Drosophila melanogaster: one gene and its partners. The protein of the gene in region 4 interacts with the protein of the main gene of each other region in a pairwise test. Each region holds a gene or a part of one and is shown on either strand. Other genes may lie near its edges. The genes, in order: Elovl7, SdhD, Tsp74F and Obp57c.

Region 1 (4,807 bases), on a different chromosome or scaffold from region 4:
CGTATTTATCAGGTTGTTTCTGTCCACTAATTTAAATTTTGCTTTAGCCCCACAATGTTGATGTTGATTTAATTATTTTGTGTTCGGATTAAATGTGTCGAAAATATATTACTGCAAATGCGTTCGTTGCTTTAAAATGGAATTTATTTGTAATTTATTGTTGTACGACAAGGAAATTATTTAGAAAATATTATTAAACATTTTTAAAATACTTAAAAACAAAATCGAACAACTTTAGCACCTAAGTCCCATCTAAATTCGCACTAATGGAAATATGTTTAATCACGAATTCGGTATGACAGCATGGCCCACTAAATAATTTAATTTATACAAATAAATTCATCCAACCGACCCAGTTTAAAGCGACAAATATGTATAAATTAATTGTTTTTTCGGGAACGAAGAGTTTGTATAAAATTGCAAAAAAAAAAAGGCACTCAAAGAGCTGTAAAATATGCAAGCCAGCGTGTTTGAATAATAATTTAAAAGCTGTTATTTTTAGTGTTTTTAACACCTTTACTGGCATAACTTTTCTGTCTAATCTCCAACGAGCAATAATTGAATTTCAAATGACACTTACTTCAATCACGGGCCGATAAGAGTCCATAAATGTAATCATTTTCAGGTACTCTCCGTTTAATGGTCTCTTTACGTTTATCTACCTCGAATTCCTCTCTTCGCTTGCGTTATCAGTTTTTAAGTGTTAATTTGCTCGGGAATATACACAGCCAGTAAAAAAATTGCTGAGAGACACGCACTTTTTTTATGTAGAACAATAAACCTTTGCCCAAATGGCATATTCGCAATTGAAGTGAACGAAGACTAGCTAGCTACTGAGAAAATCGCGCATACGCCGTGTGGAGCCAAACAAATCGAAATGGAGCAGCGAATGCACTGCGATTTCAGTCACATGCGGCAAGCGTTATCTCACACACACACACACACACACACACACACACACTAAGTACTAAGAGGGCACTCTGCCTATGGTTTTGTGTTTACTATATGCTCTCTACATGATTCTCTTACCAAAAAACAGCTGAGTGCCGAGCGGCAGTCAACAATAAAGCGACGTCAATGCGTCTGAGACTGGCTCTCCAATGTAGCTAACTGGCCCACAGGGAATGCAAGCAAATCGGCTGATTAAGGCACATTTTTTTTTATTATGATCACTTGGCGGGGGCTGCGCAGTTTGGCAGCTGGGTGGCAGTGGCTCTGGCTCCAACAAGCAGCCTCAAACAACCCAGACCCGATAGCCCATAGCCGCCCATAGCCAACTGGCAACTAGTAAAATTCGCCGCCAGCGCCTTTGCACTTTTCAGTGTCAAAAGAGGCAACACAAAAATGCGGCAAAAGTCCCAGTCGAAAATAAAATCGAGGTGTAATAATCATTGTGTAAGAGGCCAAAAGGAGAAGAAAACAACTCGAAGATTTGAATAAGTTTCGATTTCTGGGTTGCCTGCTTATTTTTTTTTTTCTTTTTTTTTTTTTTTTGTGAAATGGTGCAATGCCAGTGATCATTAGCCAGCGGTAGTAGCGGCGGCGATTGGTTAACCCACTGGGGTTTTTTCTCTCGAATTTGCAGAGCTGCTGAATGAATATGAAAATCACTGGATTTCTACACAGCAGCAGCATCTGCAATGATGGGCCGAAAGCATAAGTAAGGTGGACGGGACAAATGAGTCGGCCTGGCCCTGACTGGCTATCATTTCACCTGCGCTCCGATCGCCAGTTATCCCATATCCCCGGCCGAGATTCAAGGTCAGCGATGCACTGCATTTCCGTGTGAAATGTTGTCATGCCAGTGAGCTGGTGAGCTGGTGAGCTGGTGAGCTGGTGAGCTGGTGGGCTAGTGAGCTGGTCAAAGCCAAAAGCCAGCCTTCACTTCACTTGACCGCCAGCCAGTGATGTTGCTGGTGTAAGTGCTGCTGCTGCAACTGCGGACATAACACAGCGACAGCTTCGAAATAAGTGCAGCACTTGCAGTTTCTGTATGCACTTTTGGCGGAGCTCGAAAGCGAATGGCTCTAGCAAAACAGAACAGAGCAAAACGCTCATGTTTTGTGGCAGAAAGCGGGGGAAAAGTGGGCGAAAAGCGTGGAAAGGTCTGCGCGGAGTCGGCAAAAATGCATTTGGGAAAAAACAGTGGAAAACCTTGCTAGCGAATGTGTACTTGAAAACGAAAACCAGTTGCTGGCGTGCGGTTTTTTTCCATTTCCAAAGAAAACGAATAAGAACCAGGAATGGCTGGTGCTCGAGAGGTTTTCTCGATTAATAATTTGCTCAATTAATTTTAACGGCTGCATTGCGGATATTCATTATAGGAGCTTTATTTATTTTTTTTTTTATTATTAATTTCTTGCTTAATAGCAGCAGCAGCACACACGAGTCGTGTGCAAAGGGTCATTTGTGGGTTGTGGGATTTAACGGAAAGCCCAAGTCAACGTACGATCATGTATATTTATTTATTCAGGCTTGCATGTTGGGGGTCGGCATCGAAATTACTGGTTGCAAAGGCATTTTAATAAAGGAGGTTTCAGTGGCATCAATTTTCCGTTGAGTCACACTGGGTGTTCGGTCGGGAACCCCCGCTACTTACCATTGTGCTAAAATTCGCTTCAACAGGTACTAAATGCGCGTTTATATTCCGTTTGTTACAAGGAAGCGTACTGTATTTATTTATTTTTTCTTTTTTTTTTTTTTGACTAATTTACAGAGATTCTCTCGACTTTGGTATACGAATTATCACTTTTTAGCGCACTATCCTTGTTCGTTTCGTTTCGTTTTTTTTTTTCGTTTTTCTTGCTTGTAGGTTTTTAGTTATTGTTTTACACACGCACACACTGTTTGACCATCGTTATACGGTTTTATGGTTTCTACATCACTGTTGCGGGGAACTGCTGCTGATGCTACTGCTGATGCGACCGATCTGCCGCTGCTGCTGCTCCGCTGGACTTTACTGGACAACAACTGGACAGCGACTGGGCGAGCGTGCGCTTTTTACATTCAAATCAAAAACACTGAAATAAGTTTGATTTCACGCTGCCGCTTTACTTTTATACCGCCTCGCAGTCGTAGGAGCGGACTTGGCGCAGACGTCGACGCAGATCGTCGGCGCCGCCGACCGCTCATTTTCGGCGAGCGTGGCGATGGCGCTGGCGTTGAGGTGAGCCGAAGTCGAAAGCTTCGGTCGCTAGCCACAGGTTCTGAGCAACAGGTTGTCGATGTGTGCTCTCGCTCTGACAGCCGAAGCGATCGGGTCGGGCGTCAGGATGCCAGAGCGAGAGCGAGATCGGCCAGCGGCCCTTTGGAATCGAATTCTTGGTATCCACCAGTGGGGGTATCACCCGCCTTTGCACCCACACCCAAGTGCGGCGCTAATTGCCGCCAATCCAAATATCGGAGCGGTACTTTTGCCGCGTCTTGGCAGCGCGCATGATTGCACAGTTCAAAGTTCGGCAAGAATGTCCGTTAATTAACCCCTGCCCAGGCCCGGCCCTTCATATCGGAAAAGTGTGCAAAAATTAACGTAGCCACAAATCAAATCAAATCAAATCAAATCACGGCGAGGGAGAGCGGCGGAAAGGTTGCCAGCAACAAAGCCCAATCTTTGGATACGTATGCGGTAAAAAGCAGAAGAAGATGGGGCTGACCAAACCAGTTTGCCTCTTGGGCTCTTAAATATTTATAATGACCAATACTTGGCTTTCCTCCGTTTGCCTTCGTGATGGCCAATAAATGGCCAAAATGCGCCGTGAACTTCTGAAACATACAAATTCCCGAATGGGAAAAGCGGCTACCGAGACCTGGATGTTGCAGGCAACCTGGCGGATACTTAATATTTCGGAGGACCCGACGCTTACTTGTTATTTGTGCAAGCTTGAAACGTTACGTAGTCGATTTTTGTGAGCTAAGCAATTAGATCGAACTTTGACAGCGGCTTGGTTGACGATTTACTTACCCTCAATTAACGACCCTTCAACTACCTTTATTCTAATTTACCTGCTAAAAATCTCACCATTACCCTGCACTTTTGATGCGTTTTTCGACAAAAAACCCAAGCAATGCAACAAAGCAAACATTTGCATTTTTCGTCTCAAAGTCCGCTGCATGGCCGCCGAGCACAAGATCTTTTTGCGGAATTCTAACCGAATAACACGTAACTGACCATGTAATCTAGCCGCGCCAAATTTACATGTGCAAACAGTCGGCGGGGGAGACGATGAATATGTATAGACATGTCGCCCTAAGCTGATCCCATCTCACAGATCCGAAACACGCGTCTGCCATATTGGGGGAAGTATGAATACGATCGATTCAAGGGCTTTCTAGTGGCTGTATGACTAGAGGAAAAGCTCACGATGAATTGACCATGCTAGATCAGAATGATCCTCCTTATATGGACAGAGATGGCAGGTAATATTTCCGCTTGCTCTGAAATTTTCCATTTGATCATCAGAATTTAGACTGCGACTGTACTCACCAGACATGGATATGTTTTTCCCAGTTAGAATGCACTTCACTAGTCCTTTAACTAATGCCGCGCACGACAATATATTGTAACACAAGTTTTAGGTGCCGGCAAGCCACGCCTAGTTGTAAAATTTATGTGAACAAAAAATCAAAATAAATAAGCACTTTATACCCAGAGATTCAACCTTGAGCATTTGCAGAAAATTTACATACAAATCGAAATGTTAAAGCAATCTGAAAAATATTCATAATCTAATTAAATTCATTAACGAAAGTGCACCAGTTCACCATTTGAGTTCAGTGTGTTAATTTCTCAATGCGATTGCATAATCGC
Region 2 (3,603 bases), on a different chromosome or scaffold from region 4:
TTTCGCAGCCAGGCCAATGACGTAAGTATCCCCACGGAACCAAGCCTGAAATCCTTCTAAATCCTTGTTTAACCGCTCAGCTCATTGAAAAGGAGAACATGAAGGCGGTGGTGTCGATGAACGAGGACTATGAGCTGACCGCCTTCTCCAACAACACGGAGAAGTGGCGAAAGCTTGGCATTGAGTTCCTGCAGCTGGCCACCACCGACATCTTTGAGTCGCCCAATCAAGAAAAGCTCTTCCGCGGCGTGGAATTCATAAACAAGTTCCTGCCTCTAAAGCAAAGAATTGGTGGCCTAAGTTCCTCCTACCAGCCGGAGAACGTGGGTTCTGTCTATGTGCACTGCAAGGCTGGTAGGACGCGAAGTGCCACTTTGGTGGGATGCTACCTCATGATGGTGGGTTGGTTATCTATTTGCACGTAGCTCTTAAAAAAAAGCTCACAACTTATCCTTTGCAGAAGAACGGATGGACTCCGGATCAGGCGGTTGACCACATGCGTAAGTGCCGACCGCACATTCTGCTGCACACCAAACAATGGGATGCCCTCCGGTTATTCTACACAAACAATGTGGAGACGAAATCATGACCAAACCTGGACAATAGCCCAAATTTATTGTTTACAGTAGATTACCATACGTAACAAAGGTGGTGCCTGTTACCCAACTACTTTAGTGCTGATTTTCTTGTTGAATATACAATTTTCTACAAAACCCGCTCTGTGCAGCTGTGACTTTTTACAATTCTTTATTTAATGCTTATCGCGAAACTATGAATAAATAACTGGTGTTTCGTGGTTCATCAACTGATTGCTCCTTTGACATTTAAGCCTTCTCGGCATCCTTGCCCTTGATGGCCCAGAAGCGCTTGATACCATTGGCCAGACCCACATCATTTTGGATGAAGTAGAAGAGGCCGCCCAGCGTGGCCACCGAGATGATGATCAGCGCAATGTGGGCTACCTTGGGCAGGACGTTTCCAACGACAGATGGCCGCATGTAGTCAACTACCATGGCCTCCACGCCCCTGCGTTTGGTGAATGAGGAAAATATAAGTAAAGGTTTAATTTTCCTCAAGGATATCTTACCAATGGGTGTGGATGACGACAGAGATGGCCATGAGGGCGTCCAATACCTGGGATGGAGCTATGAAGGCAGCTGGAATGACGGCCAGTAGGCCGGCGGACACAATTCGCTCCACAGTCCAGAGCAGGGTGTGGCTGGATCCAGCGGAAGCCATGCGGGGCGCACTCACGGAGATCTCGCGCACGACGGGCTGCATAAGCAGTCGAGGATTACCATTTAGTATGATTAGCCACCACTGAATTTTTCAACTCTAAACACTTACCGCTACAATCTTGGCCACGGCCAGGGGCTGGACCACCGCCTTCCGCTGGACATTGGCCACCAGGGTGGAGTAGCTCTTCAGGGGAGTGATGCGAGCCGACTTAACAAGATTTGCGGCTAATTGGGATACCAACAAACGGTTTGGTTATATAATGAAAGCTGTTTTGCGTCCAATAACAAGGCGATTTGCCATCCAGTGGGTCCTTACCATTGCAACGGACAGCGCCACGCAGAAGCAACGAGAGGGACATGTTGGGATGTGTAAATATTGAGAATTTTCAGCTCAAAATAAAAACTCTATCGCTCCGTTCGGTTTGGGCCGATTTGTCTAAAAAATTACACAGCACTGGGCTAGTGCAGTCAGCTGTCATCGATTTGTTATCGGTAAACAGTAGCGGTCAAGATATTGTCCCACAATAATAAGGGAAGCCCAGTAAAATATTTTGAACTCAACAAACAATTAAAGGGTGTAATAAATAATAAGAAAACATTTAGTTCAAGGCATTTATTTAACTGCTTTAATTATTTGCACAATACATTTGAGATTCGTTTGGGACGGAATGGCTGTTACACGTAAAAATTGTGATGATCTTACAAACTAAGTTTAAAATTTGCTTAAAACTTTCTAAAATTCGCATTCTAAGGCACGCAATTGCTCCTAAAAGTGACTTTATGTTGGTTGTAAAATTTTTGTAAATTTCGTTGGATGGAATAGTTAAAAAATACTTTTGATATTATTAAGCTAATAAACTCCTAACCTGGACTAAGACCACGATAACGAGGCCAGTCAGTTGAAATTTTAGTGTCGCTGCTCCTGCTCGGTAAAAGTCCCAATCAAATATGATGTTGGAGGCATCCGACGGCTTCCAAGGATTCAATCCGTCATCGAAGTGCATGGGACAGTCGTCACGCTCCCTTTCGTACTCCACGGCATCGATGGCTACGGCAGCGCCCTCCGAGTGGTTCCACGAGGTCACATCTTGCTCCAGTTTGCAGAATGCGCCCACAGCCTGCGACATGAGGACACGGTTGAGGTCGGCACGCTGATAGACCCAGCAGCGATACTTGGACAGCGGATCCAAATCGTCGTACGTAATCAGGTAGGACTTGAGGTTCTCCTTCCAGAAGCCAATGCACTTCATGCGGTAATCGGGATCACTGTAGATATCAACGGGACGACCCAAGTGATCCACCGACAGGCAATAGTTTTCATCCACCGCCAATTCCTTTTGATCTGTATCGCAAACCGATAAATCCGAGATGTTTTGCTTGCAATGGATATCGGGACGCGGACTCAGAGTGACACCACCAAGAATTCTGTGAAATATACACATTAATTATACGTTTCATGCTACGATTGCAAAACATTACAAACCTCGTTCTGAAGGGATGCTCTCCTCGCTGCGTAAAGTTGAATTTTCCCGCAACGGGGCAACGAACAGGCACAGGATTTCGAGCAAGAAACAGATCATATTTCCATGCCTCCGAATTGGGGAACTGAACCCAAGAGCAGACTGTACTAAAATCGTCCTTGATCACAGCCAAACCCTTGCGGTAGCGAATGATGTTGTGGTGGCGGGGCATAAAGTCAAAGCACACGTAATCCTTCTGGCAACCGTCGACAGTGAGGCGAGCCATCATCACACGATTACCCCGTCGCTCTCGGCAAACATAGATTGTCTTTCGGTATCGAGCTTTATCCGGATAGTACGTCTCGTTTATGTGGGTCTCACTGATCGAGACATCGGCATCAATGTTGGCAGTGTTCACCCATTCTCCGCTAAAGTTTTGTGGTAGCGTGCAACCGGGTTCCACAAACTCAGCCTTCACTGGCGTCAGCTTTAGACGCTCCGGTGACGTTTCTGGCGTCTTCAGTGTGTTACATTCGGCCGTAATGGAAACGCCCACGTAAAGATCATCGTCACGATTCTTAAGGAAGCAGCGGTACTTCTCATCCTTACGCGACTCCTTTGTGTTGGCCACGGCAAAGTAGTGGTTCTTGCCCACAAACCAATCGCCCAGGCAGCTGAACTCCACGGTGCCGGTGAATGTGCCCTCCATACCCTCGCACTGCTGATAGGTGACGTTGAACTTCTGGTTCTGGATGAGGAACTGCGTTCCTGCCGTTTGACAGGACTGAATGCGAGCGTCGGGCTTATCGCATACGCCCGTGAATCGGAATCGGTTCTATAATAAAAGTTCAAATCAAGATCACTAATCAACATAAAATGGATATGTTTCTAGACCCTTAACTAAA
Region 3 (6,552 bases), on a different chromosome or scaffold from region 4:
AATTTATTAATGCAATATGCAAATTTTTGATTGATTGAGATAGCTTTTATACGAAGATCAGTAAGTGGCGAAGGCGTAAGTAGAGTTATAGCAGCTATGATAAGTCATGTGAGAATCAAAAATGTTGCATTTGTTGTTTTTTCAATGTTTCACTTTAGTTTGCATCTGATAATGTATGATGCATGTTGCTGTGTTAACTCGGTTGTATGCGCAGTTCGGTTAACATTTTAATTATATCTTCCACTACCAGTAGTCATTTGCTTGCCTTCCCAATTTTTGACTCATTCCAATCAGTTAAAGTGCCACAATTTAACGCTTCTGACGCTTGTCACCTTCGCCGAGCTCAACGAGGCTTTCAACTCGCTCACACTAATCGGATCTCAGTAAGTATAGGTTCATAGGCGAAATTGACTGGCTTAAAATTAAGAATTCCCCATAATATTAATGATTCTTGGCCACTTGAGCAAGAATAACTGAGCACTAGTCGCAAACTTCGATTTCTGAGCAATATTTTATCATGAGGCGCCTGTGGGACGAGTGTGTGGAAATGGATTTTATGGCATCTATAAAACGCAAAAGGTTCCCACAGCGAGTTTATAAGATGCAAAATCAACAGGCAGAGTAATTGTTTTTCTTTTTTTTATGATTTATTTTTATTTTCGCCATGCAACTAACACATTGGTCGGTGATTACGGGGACATGGCGGGTGGTTGTTGTTAACACGGCCATAAAAGTGCTAAACAAGCCAACAATTTGAGCGCTTTTCAACCGTGCTGTGGAGTGTAAGTAGGGAGGGTGAGCTATTCGTCTATCGGCAGCCAACTTTCTGACCTTAGCTTGGAAACTGCTTAAAAAATTACTCAACTCAGCCAAAACTATTTGTTCGACTAACAAGAAAATTAAGCTGTTAATTGCCAAAGGTTGTCCTTCGGCACAGCAATTGAGTTCGACCAGCAAAAGTAACATGAAACACGGATAATAAGCATATTTTCCTTGTGCTCTCTTGGAACACTAAGCCCTTGAAATCAAGAAAGAAAGATAGCCTCGCCAATGTTTGATTTCTTTTCTAATATTTTCAATTAAATTTCGATATTTATACATACATGATACAGAAGACAAATTCACATACTACGAGCAATAAAAAGAAGATTTTTAGAAAAGTTCCAAGCTTTAAAACTATGATTCTAGAATGCGTAAGAAAGGAACGGACTGACAAACTTGGCTTTATCAAGTTGTCTGATCAACACTCGTATATTGAATATAAATATGGTTGCAAATAGATGCAAATGATCCAACTGAAGAAAGAAAACAATCATTACAAATAATCCTTGTTCAAAAAGTATTTAAACTTAAACTGTTATAACAAAACGGTAACCAATTCGGATAGATTTGCCTCCAAAATCAATTATGCGGACATTGCCATGTGCAGACCGAGAACTAAAACAAATATCAAATTTCGTTTGCTTATCAATATTTATATTTTGCAATTGCCCGAAATGAAACAAAGGTGCTGGCTGTGGACGACGGATCATATTTTGTTTGCTCAACGCATTTTCACATGCCGACTCCGCAAAGGGAAGTGTGGGTAAAAGAAGCCGAAAAATAGATGAATAAATAAGAGAGAAGCACGAAAACATTCAGAGAAGTATTTGCGGTTTGTAAGCGAGTAGAGACTCCCATCTCTCTCGCACCTGCAGTGCTAAGCCTTCGAAAACAGGGGCTCAAGTCGAAGTTGTTGTAATGTCGAGAGACCGAGACCAGAAAAAGCCCAACAACGAAGCTCTTTGTGAGCGAAACTAATAAAAAACCGATCGCCCCGACTGTTCCCACAACCAGTTCCAAGCGAGCTCTCGGGCGGTAGAGTCGTCCCTGTCCCACATATAAAACCATAGTATCATAGCTCCCCGGATCCACTCAATCCCTGTAAGGCGAGACTTAGGTCCATCAAGTGAATCGTATAGTTTTATCCCCACGAAATATCCCGACAGTACAGTGATAACTCCGCTAAGGATAATGCTGCCTTGGCAAGCGTGACGTAACTTGAAAAGCAAATGTTAAAAGCAAGGCGGCAAAAAAAAAGTTGTTTGCCATGGGAGAACTGCAATTGACAATAACAGCAACAGCAATCGAATAAAAACTCAATAACAATTATCAACTGCGAGTGACGCTTAAAACAAATGCAAGAAACCTGTATTAAAAAAGTTTCATAAAAATTCGAGAGCAAATATTAACGAATATTGCATAAATTGCTATATGCGTATGTAAACTTTGCGATCTCTTTTGATCTGAATGAAGTGATCTGAATGAAGAATGAACCAAAAATTTAAACAAGTTAATAAAATCGACCGAAAAAATGAATGAATGCGTCTTCATCAAAAAGTTGTTTATAAATAAAAGTGAAATTAAAAACTCTTCTACTTCTTACCACAAAAATGTTAATTGAAAGGGTTAAAATAATTTCCTTCTTTTTTTATAGCCACTCCCAAAGTTTCTGTGCATTCAAGTGCAACTAAAAATAGTAGCCGTTTCTTTTGTTTTGCTTTGTGTTTTTGCAAAACAACAAATTGAAGGCAATTTACATACACAAAGCTGAGAAAGAAAACCGCCAAAATTGGTTACCTAACGAAAACTTCGTTTGTGCTACGGGACGGCAAACTTGTAAGTGAATTTGCTTATTAGATAATATTTCATTTGTTTTAATTAATCATAAATTTCATACAGAGGTCCTTCAAATGCGACCACTTTCCTATTTTCACTGCTATATTTTCAAGCTTCGAGTATAAACAAGGAGTACATATTTCATATTTATAGCCTCGACCGATTCTGCTCACTAACTTTTAAGCTAACATCACCTACAAATAAAGATTACATACGAGTTTTAAACATAAATGACCTAGTAAAGCTATTATTCCTATGATTACAGATAGATAACAGGGTATGAAAGGAGCATAAAAGAGTGAGCTCAGAGTTTAGTAGATAGTACTTAAAAAGTCTGATTTTCTAAGTTTTTCATGAGTGACAGGACTTGGAATCCGAGCTTTAAGTGATCTATTACCATGTGTAGCACGTACAGCTGAACAATTACCATAAACTTAATTGGTCTCAGCTTACAAGCGGCAGATATAGTGATTCGCCCCGCCGCCAACGCCCCGTCATCATTAATGGCGACTTTCGGATGACTTACTGTCATCTCAGGCACGATTCGGATTCGCTTAACATGATAACGTCGAATGAAATATAGTGAATATTCAGATAGTGTGAGAACATTTTTTTAATAGCCCCGCCAATTACCTGGCGAACTCGACTGCGGCTTAACATATTTGAATTTGGAGAATAATGCTCGAAATGAGATGTCGTTTACCAGCTAGTGGGGTGAAGGGGTACCCGACTGCTCAGCCTGCAATTACTTTTAATTAGCATTTAGAACATCGCACTGCGCCAAGATGATTCAGAGCTGGGACGGCACTCGTAGTTAAACCACTACAATTAGCTGACAAATTTTCGGGCAGGCTATTACTTTGATTTATTTGTTTTGATCGCTCCAACTTCAACGGGGGGAATTCGTCTCGGAATCGCCGCGCAGCGAACCCTTCAAGTGGGCCTAATGCGATGTAAGTAACCAAAAAAAAAAAAAAAAACGCGAGTCTTTAGAGCCGTAACTGACAAAATCCACAAGACGTTGGCAGCCACCGCCGATAATGAACGCTTGTCTAGGCACATAGCGTTGGCAGCTTCGCTGCTCAGTCGCAGTTCCATAAAGTGGGTCATGGTTAAGTGTACTTCGGTCGCTTCGCGGTTCGGACCCGGCTTAGAAAGAGCGAAACGTTCGGCCGAAACCACAGCTGCGCATGCGCATGCGCATGCGCACCACTCGCCAAGCCGAACACCATTGATAGGCAGCCCATATGTTGGAGTGAATCTTACGCGAAAGAAACTCGTTAAAAAGTACATTCTTGAGATTACATCACATTGCAATAGAGAGTAGGCCAAAAATAGCTAATTTGAAATCGGGATGATGAGTTATGATTAACTTGGTTATCGCTAAGGACCTGTTGAAATTGAATGATCTCTAAGAACTTTAACTTAATTAAAGCATAGTGTGAAATTATTTTTATCTGTCTTTGGATTATAGAGTTGTATCGCCATCAAGAACCTCTGCATCTCATCCTACCCCAAATTCCCTGCATAATTCTCCTCGCATCAATATCCTCTGGGGGCTCTTCACCTGTAGACAAAAGTAAACAATGTGAAATCTTTTTATCCCATTGAATTGGTTAATTGAAATGTATTATCCTTTCAAAGGAAGACGATATGGGCTTCAGTTCGCGAATGGACTGCTGCGGGCAGTTCGTCAAGTACAGTCTTTTCATAGCCAACTTTGTGATATTCGTGAGTATCCAGGAGTCGCTTGAATTAAAAAACAATTTAAGAGAAATAAATAATACCAAAATATATGTATTTTCCAGGTGGGTGGAGCGATTGTGTTTTGTCTCACCCTGTGGACTCTGGTGGATCGGAGTTTCGTCAATGAGTTGCTCGGTACAAATCTTTTCTCGGGTGCTGTCTACGTCCTGCTGGTTACATCGATTATCATTTGTCTGGTGTCCTTTTTGGGTTGTGTTGGTGCCGGAAAAGAAGTCAAATGCCTCCTCCTAACAGTAAGTAAACAACAAACAATAAAAACAAAAATTTCATTTTATTAAATAATTAACTTTGTCCTTTTTGGAGTAATCATATCTGGATTTGCATATTTACAAAGATACCATCTAAAGAAATGATCTATTTGATTTAATCTTCTAAATGTTGTCAGTCTCTTCTTTACTATTATGCAAACACCATTTAGCTAAAAAATTAACCACTCGTTTTCCCTTTGCAGTATTTCATAATAGTGGCCCTAGTTTTCGTGACCATGCTAATTGGCGGTGTCTTGGGTTACGTGTTCCGCGAACGAGTTCAGCAGACCATGCGGCAGGTGAGGCAAATCCATCGATAACAACACGTGGGTGGCACATTAACCCTTACCAATATCCCATAGGAAATGCGTTCCACGATGGCACTATACGGAAGCAGGAGGGAGATCACCCAGGCCTGGGATTTGACCCAGGAGCGACTACAGTGCTGCGGAGTGGATACGTGGCACGACTGGAATAGGTACGGACCAGTGCCTGAGTCCTGTTGCCAGGAGCTTTTCGGTGGACAGCGTAAGGAGTGCACAATCTTCCCGACCATTACGAATCTGTACAACCAGGGATGCCTCTATGTGACGACCAACTTCATCAGGGATCACGCGGCGGTTATTGGAGGTACATCCATAGCGGTGGCCATACTGATGGTAAGTGAACGCCTTTCTTCGGTAGCAAAATTATTATATAATATATAATTAATTGGAATTTGGTTTATTTTTAGATCTTTGGCATGATATTCTCCTGTCTACTATTCAATATGATCGAATAGCGCCAACGAGGAGGGGAATCCCATGGTCACGCAGGAAAATCAGATACCAAGGTCCACAGTCCAGAAGAAACACATTTTTAAACATAATTCGCTGGAGTTAAATTAAGAGTATTATCTGAGTGTATGCTAATGTTAGATCTGCACAGATCAACTGTCCGCTTGTATTATGTATTGTATTGTATGTATATACGTGTTTAGATACGCATAACTAGTGAGTATTGAACTTAGTAGGGATTCTATTGTTATTATCTGTTGCATAAATTTGTATTATTTGTGTGAAGTTTTGTAAATTTCCTCTTAAGCCACCGTTATCAACAACCCATTACAATTGCTAGTTTTAAGTGAGCTTTTCAATACTTAATAGAGAATTTAGATGTCTGTCCATTGTTGTTTTCAATAAAAATTAGTTAAAACCAAATACTTCGGAAATGTTTATATATATTAATATTTTTTATTTTTAATCCAATTATCATTAAACGATATGTTGTGATATGAGTATAAAAAAAAAACGAAAAAGGATAAATATTTAAAATGATCTGGTCCATGAAATATGTCCATGTTACGTAAAAATTTGTATTTAAAAAACGGTTTAAAGTATTAAACTGTTTTTGATCGAAGCTTTAATCTACATGCAATATTGTTGCATATTTTTAGGTTTTTTTTGTCTTAAGTCACATTTTTGAAGCGGGAAAATAGGGAAAGTATGGATCACGCTGTGACCTGAAGGTGTTTACAAAGTGAATTATCATCAGATAATATAACAACTTTTATGTTATTTAACTGAAAATAAGTTCGCACTCAAGCGACTTTAAAGATTTGAATAAAAAAGTATTTTCTTTAATTAACTTTTATTAAAAATTATTCTACTAAGAACTTACAGCTACAACAGATTTCTGTATACTAAGCCTATAATACTACCCATCGCAAGCCATAAATTGATGGAGAAGGTGCCGGAACCTGATTGCGTATCCGTATTATTCCACCACTCCCAGTTTCCGTTGTGGAAAGTCGGGTTAGCTCTTGAATCAGAATGCGGAACTCGGGCGCTGGGAATCGCAGTCTTCCGAATTTGTTCCAACTCATCGGCAAGTTGCTGCA
Region 4 (3,172 bases):
TCCATTTCGAACTAATTGATAAATGTATACTACTTAGTGGTTCTCTATACTGAAACGAACGTGGGAAACCTGGTCATTGTCGTTGGCAAGCTGCGGGATTCTGGTTCGTTCATTAATTTGTTGCAATTTCTTGGCGAAGTCAAAGTCTCGGCTCAGTTGCAGAAGATGCTTCGGTTATGCAATGGCTACGCCACCGACATCCCTTAACATTTTACGCATTTTTCCAGAAATTCCATTGTGTTGCTGCACGTGCCAAAATGTATTTGGGCGGGCTTTTGTTGGGGTGGGCGTGGCATCAAAGTGCATGCAAAATACGTGACATGCATATTGAAGTCACTTACTATTTATTTTTATTACGCAAAGCAGCCAGAACTTTTTACACATATTTTTTTTTTACTAGTTCTCCTTTTGTTGTGGCAACTTTTCCGGAAAGGTATCAGCGGCAACAGCTGAAAAAGAGGGAAAAATAGGGAAAGAAAACTACACCAGCTCCCCCTGACATGTTTAATAAATGGCAGTAGCTGTCAGAGGAAAGTCAGAGTTTTTTCTTGTTAACCTTCATTGAAACTTTACTGAAGTGAAGGTTCAATACTTATAATTTTTGCGTGGGCTCATTAAATTTCAAAAAGTTTGATATTCAATTACCATTAGGCAGAAATAATGCCAAATTTATGAAATCCATTAAATCTGATTTCGATTCGAACATCCGCATTATTTCACATTTCCATTGTGCATGTCGACCTGTGAATTATGCCTACTGCTTATCGACCCAGAAACATTTCATAGGACTAATTAGCGTCCAACGAAATCAAATTTCGCCCTAATAAACCCATAACAGCGATATCGTGTTTCGCGAAAATGCCAAATTTTCATAAAACCTCAAAAATTGATGGGCTGAGAAATAGGCAAAATGGCATCGCAATTATGCAGCAGGACTTGACAGGACTAGAAGCGACAGGCTGGGTCAGCCGAGGACACAGTTTAGCACCTAGCTATGACCATAAAAATTTGTAATTTTCCCCAACACATATTTCCTTTTTGGCAACCGTCCAAAGTATGCAGCGTGAAAAGAAAGAGGGCAAAAATAAGAAAAAAATTGTTCAGGCCGTAAATAACCAAAGTAAACAACGCGACAAGCGGTTTGGCGGAGCAGGAGGTCGCTGGAAAAGAGCAGACAAAGTCCCGGCCGCAAAAGCCAAAACTCACTGCGAATGTGAATATTCTTGGAATTTTCATTTGTTGTCTACAGTTGCATGGGGTTGCATAGTTAGGAATGTCTTTTCTCCAAAAAAAAAAAAAAAAAAAAAAAAAACTGTAGTCAAACCAAACCAAACCATTCCAAACTAAAACCCCCTTTTCCACCCACTGTCAACGCAATTTGTCGCTTTGTGTTGCTCCTGCCGCTGCAGTTGTCGCTTCATTTTTGCAACAAAAGTGTTGCAAAATATGTTGACAGGAAATGTTATGCGAATTTCACTGCGTATAAAATGAAATTTACGTGCAACTTTGCACAGTGTGTGTGTTTAGTTTTGCCGGAAAAGCTTTGGTGGCCGGCCTTTAAAAATTGTAAGAGTATATAATTGCCAATGAAAATCAATCATTGGATTCGAGCTCAATGCAAGCTGATTCAGTTCCGAGTTTTGAGACTCAATTAAATGCACGACAGATCGTACTTCCAACTGGCTCATATTGTGTACAGTAACCAGTTGATCGCAATTAACTAGCTAACTAGATACAGATAAGCTAGACGCCATAAATTAGCCACAAGCCAGTGTGTATAAAATTCAGAACCGCCTTTCTGCGAGTAACAGTTTATCGTGAGGTGCTACTGTGCTAGGAAAACCCATGTCCATATTTATCTTGAAACAGATTCTGCGAATCGTTAGATAATGCTTAAGCTATGGCTAATATGTATCTTGACTGTCAGCGTGGTCTCCATACAGGTAATCACATCTGAGGTCTGTTTCATATGGCAGTTAATTGGAAAGTATGGTTTTTATTATAGAGTCTCTCACTTCTGGAGGAAACCAATTACGTGTCAGATTGCCTGGCCAGCAATAACATCAGCCAGGCTGAATTCCAGGAACTCATCGATCGCAACAGCTCCGAAGAGGATGACCTCGAGAATACCGACAGAAGATACAAATGCTTCATCCATTGCCTAGCGGAGAAGGGAAATCTTTTGGATACCAATGGCTATTTGGATGTGGATAAAATTGATCAAATTGAGCCCGTGAGCGATGAACTGCGAGAGATACTCTACGATTGCAAGAAAATCTACGATGAGGAAGAAGATCATTGCGAATATGCGTTTAAGATGGTGACTTGTCTAACTGAAAGCTTCGAGCAGAGCGATGAGGTCACCGAAGCGGGTAAAAATACAAACAAATTAAACGAATAATCGGTCTAAAACTGGTCAAGCAACTTAATCGCAATTGTTTTATGCCAGCGGGAAATTCACAAGCAACTGTTTAGTTTCATTTCTACAATGTTCATCTACAGACTTGTATTTATTGCGCCTCTGATTTTGTTATTGTTCAGCTTGGCCAAGGTGGGATTGATATTTATATTTGACTAAGCTTTTGATTTATTTTCAACAAACTACAATATATAGGCTCGCCACCCCTTTGATATATTTCATTGGAATTGGCAAGACTTTCAGGAGTGTCTACAAGTTAATAATATTACCATAGGAGAATATGAGAAATACGCGCGACACGAAACTTTGGATTACCTGCTCAACGAGAAAGTCGACTTGAGGTACAAGTGCAATATTAAATGTCAGCTGGAAAGGGATTCAACGAAATGGTTGAATGCTCAAGGCAGAATGGATTTGGATTTGATGAATACGACCGATAAGGCATCCAAATCCATTACCAAGTGCATGGAGAAGGCTCCCGAAGAACTTTGTGCGTACAGTTTTAGACTGGTGATGTGTGCATTTAAGGCTGGCCATCCCGTAATTGATTCGGAATAAATGTCAATAATTTAAATATATGGAAACAATCAAAGTACTACAATTTCCACACATAACTCACATAAGTTTTACTATTTCAAACGAGTGATTTGTAGAGATTGTAGATCTAGTATGTACTTAACACCAGTCAAATAGGCGTGCCACGTAATTTTTATTAGAGCTTATTCGAAACGAGTAATTAATTTTAAGTGTAAC

The links.
Region 1: the proteins of Obp57c (region 4) and Elovl7 interact in a two-hybrid assay, tested with the Drosophila melanogaster proteins (one large-scale study listed by BioGRID).
Region 2: the proteins of Obp57c (region 4) and SdhD interact in a two-hybrid assay, tested with the Drosophila melanogaster proteins (one large-scale study listed by BioGRID).
Region 3: the proteins of Obp57c (region 4) and Tsp74F interact in a two-hybrid assay, tested with the Drosophila melanogaster proteins (one large-scale study listed by BioGRID).

What each region holds. Positions count from the first base shown.
Region 1 is NT_033777.3:7,992,821-7,997,627, forward strand, and holds the start of Elovl7 (ELOVL fatty acid elongase 7), read right to left. Parts: upstream 3,033-4,807; 5' UTR 2,603-3,032; coding exon 2,600-2,602; intron 1-2,599. UniProt on the Drosophila melanogaster protein: Catalyzes the first and rate-limiting reaction of the four reactions that constitute the long-chain fatty acids elongation cycle.
Region 2 is NT_033777.3:23,758,898-23,762,500, forward strand, and holds SdhD (succinate dehydrogenase, subunit D), read right to left. Parts: upstream 1,704-3,603; 5' UTR 1,598-1,703; coding exon 1,555-1,597; intron 1,464-1,554; coding exon 1,348-1,463; intron 1,276-1,347; coding exon 1,088-1,275; intron 1,027-1,087; coding exon 825-1,026; 3' UTR 590-824; downstream 1-589. Other genes in the region: PTPMT1 (protein tyrosine phosphatase, mitochondrial 1), read left to right, coding at 1-21, 81-398, 461-589; udt (undicht), read right to left, coding at 2,084-2,663, 2,722-3,533. UniProt on the Drosophila melanogaster protein: Membrane-anchoring subunit of succinate dehydrogenase (SDH) that is involved in complex II of the mitochondrial electron transport chain and is responsible for transferring electrons from succinate to ubiquinone (coenzyme Q).
Region 3 is NT_037436.4:17,891,137-17,897,688, reverse strand, and holds Tsp74F (tetraspanin 74F), read left to right. Parts: upstream 1-1,826; 5' UTR 1,827-1,923; intron 1,924-2,476; 5' UTR 2,477-2,658; intron 2,659-4,132; exon of another isoform or gene 4,133-4,237; intron 4,238-4,302; 5' UTR 4,303-4,311; coding exon 4,312-4,389; intron 4,390-4,466; coding exon 4,467-4,658; intron 4,659-4,876; coding exon 4,877-4,972; intron 4,973-5,035; coding exon 5,036-5,332; intron 5,333-5,406; coding exon 5,407-5,454; 3' UTR 5,455-5,869; downstream 5,870-6,552. Other genes in the region: CG7402 (uncharacterized protein), read right to left, coding at 6,335-6,552.
Region 4 is NT_033778.4:20,501,778-20,504,949, forward strand, and holds Obp57c (Odorant-binding protein 57c), read left to right. Parts: upstream 1-1,806; 5' UTR 1,807-1,889; coding exon 1,890-1,943; intron 1,944-2,005; coding exon 2,006-2,401; 3' UTR 2,402-2,425; downstream 2,426-3,172. Other genes in the region: Obp57b (Odorant-binding protein 57b), read left to right, coding at 2,489-2,551, 2,615-2,977. UniProt on the Drosophila melanogaster protein: Present in the aqueous fluid surrounding olfactory sensory dendrites and are thought to aid in the capture and transport of hydrophobic odorants into and through this fluid.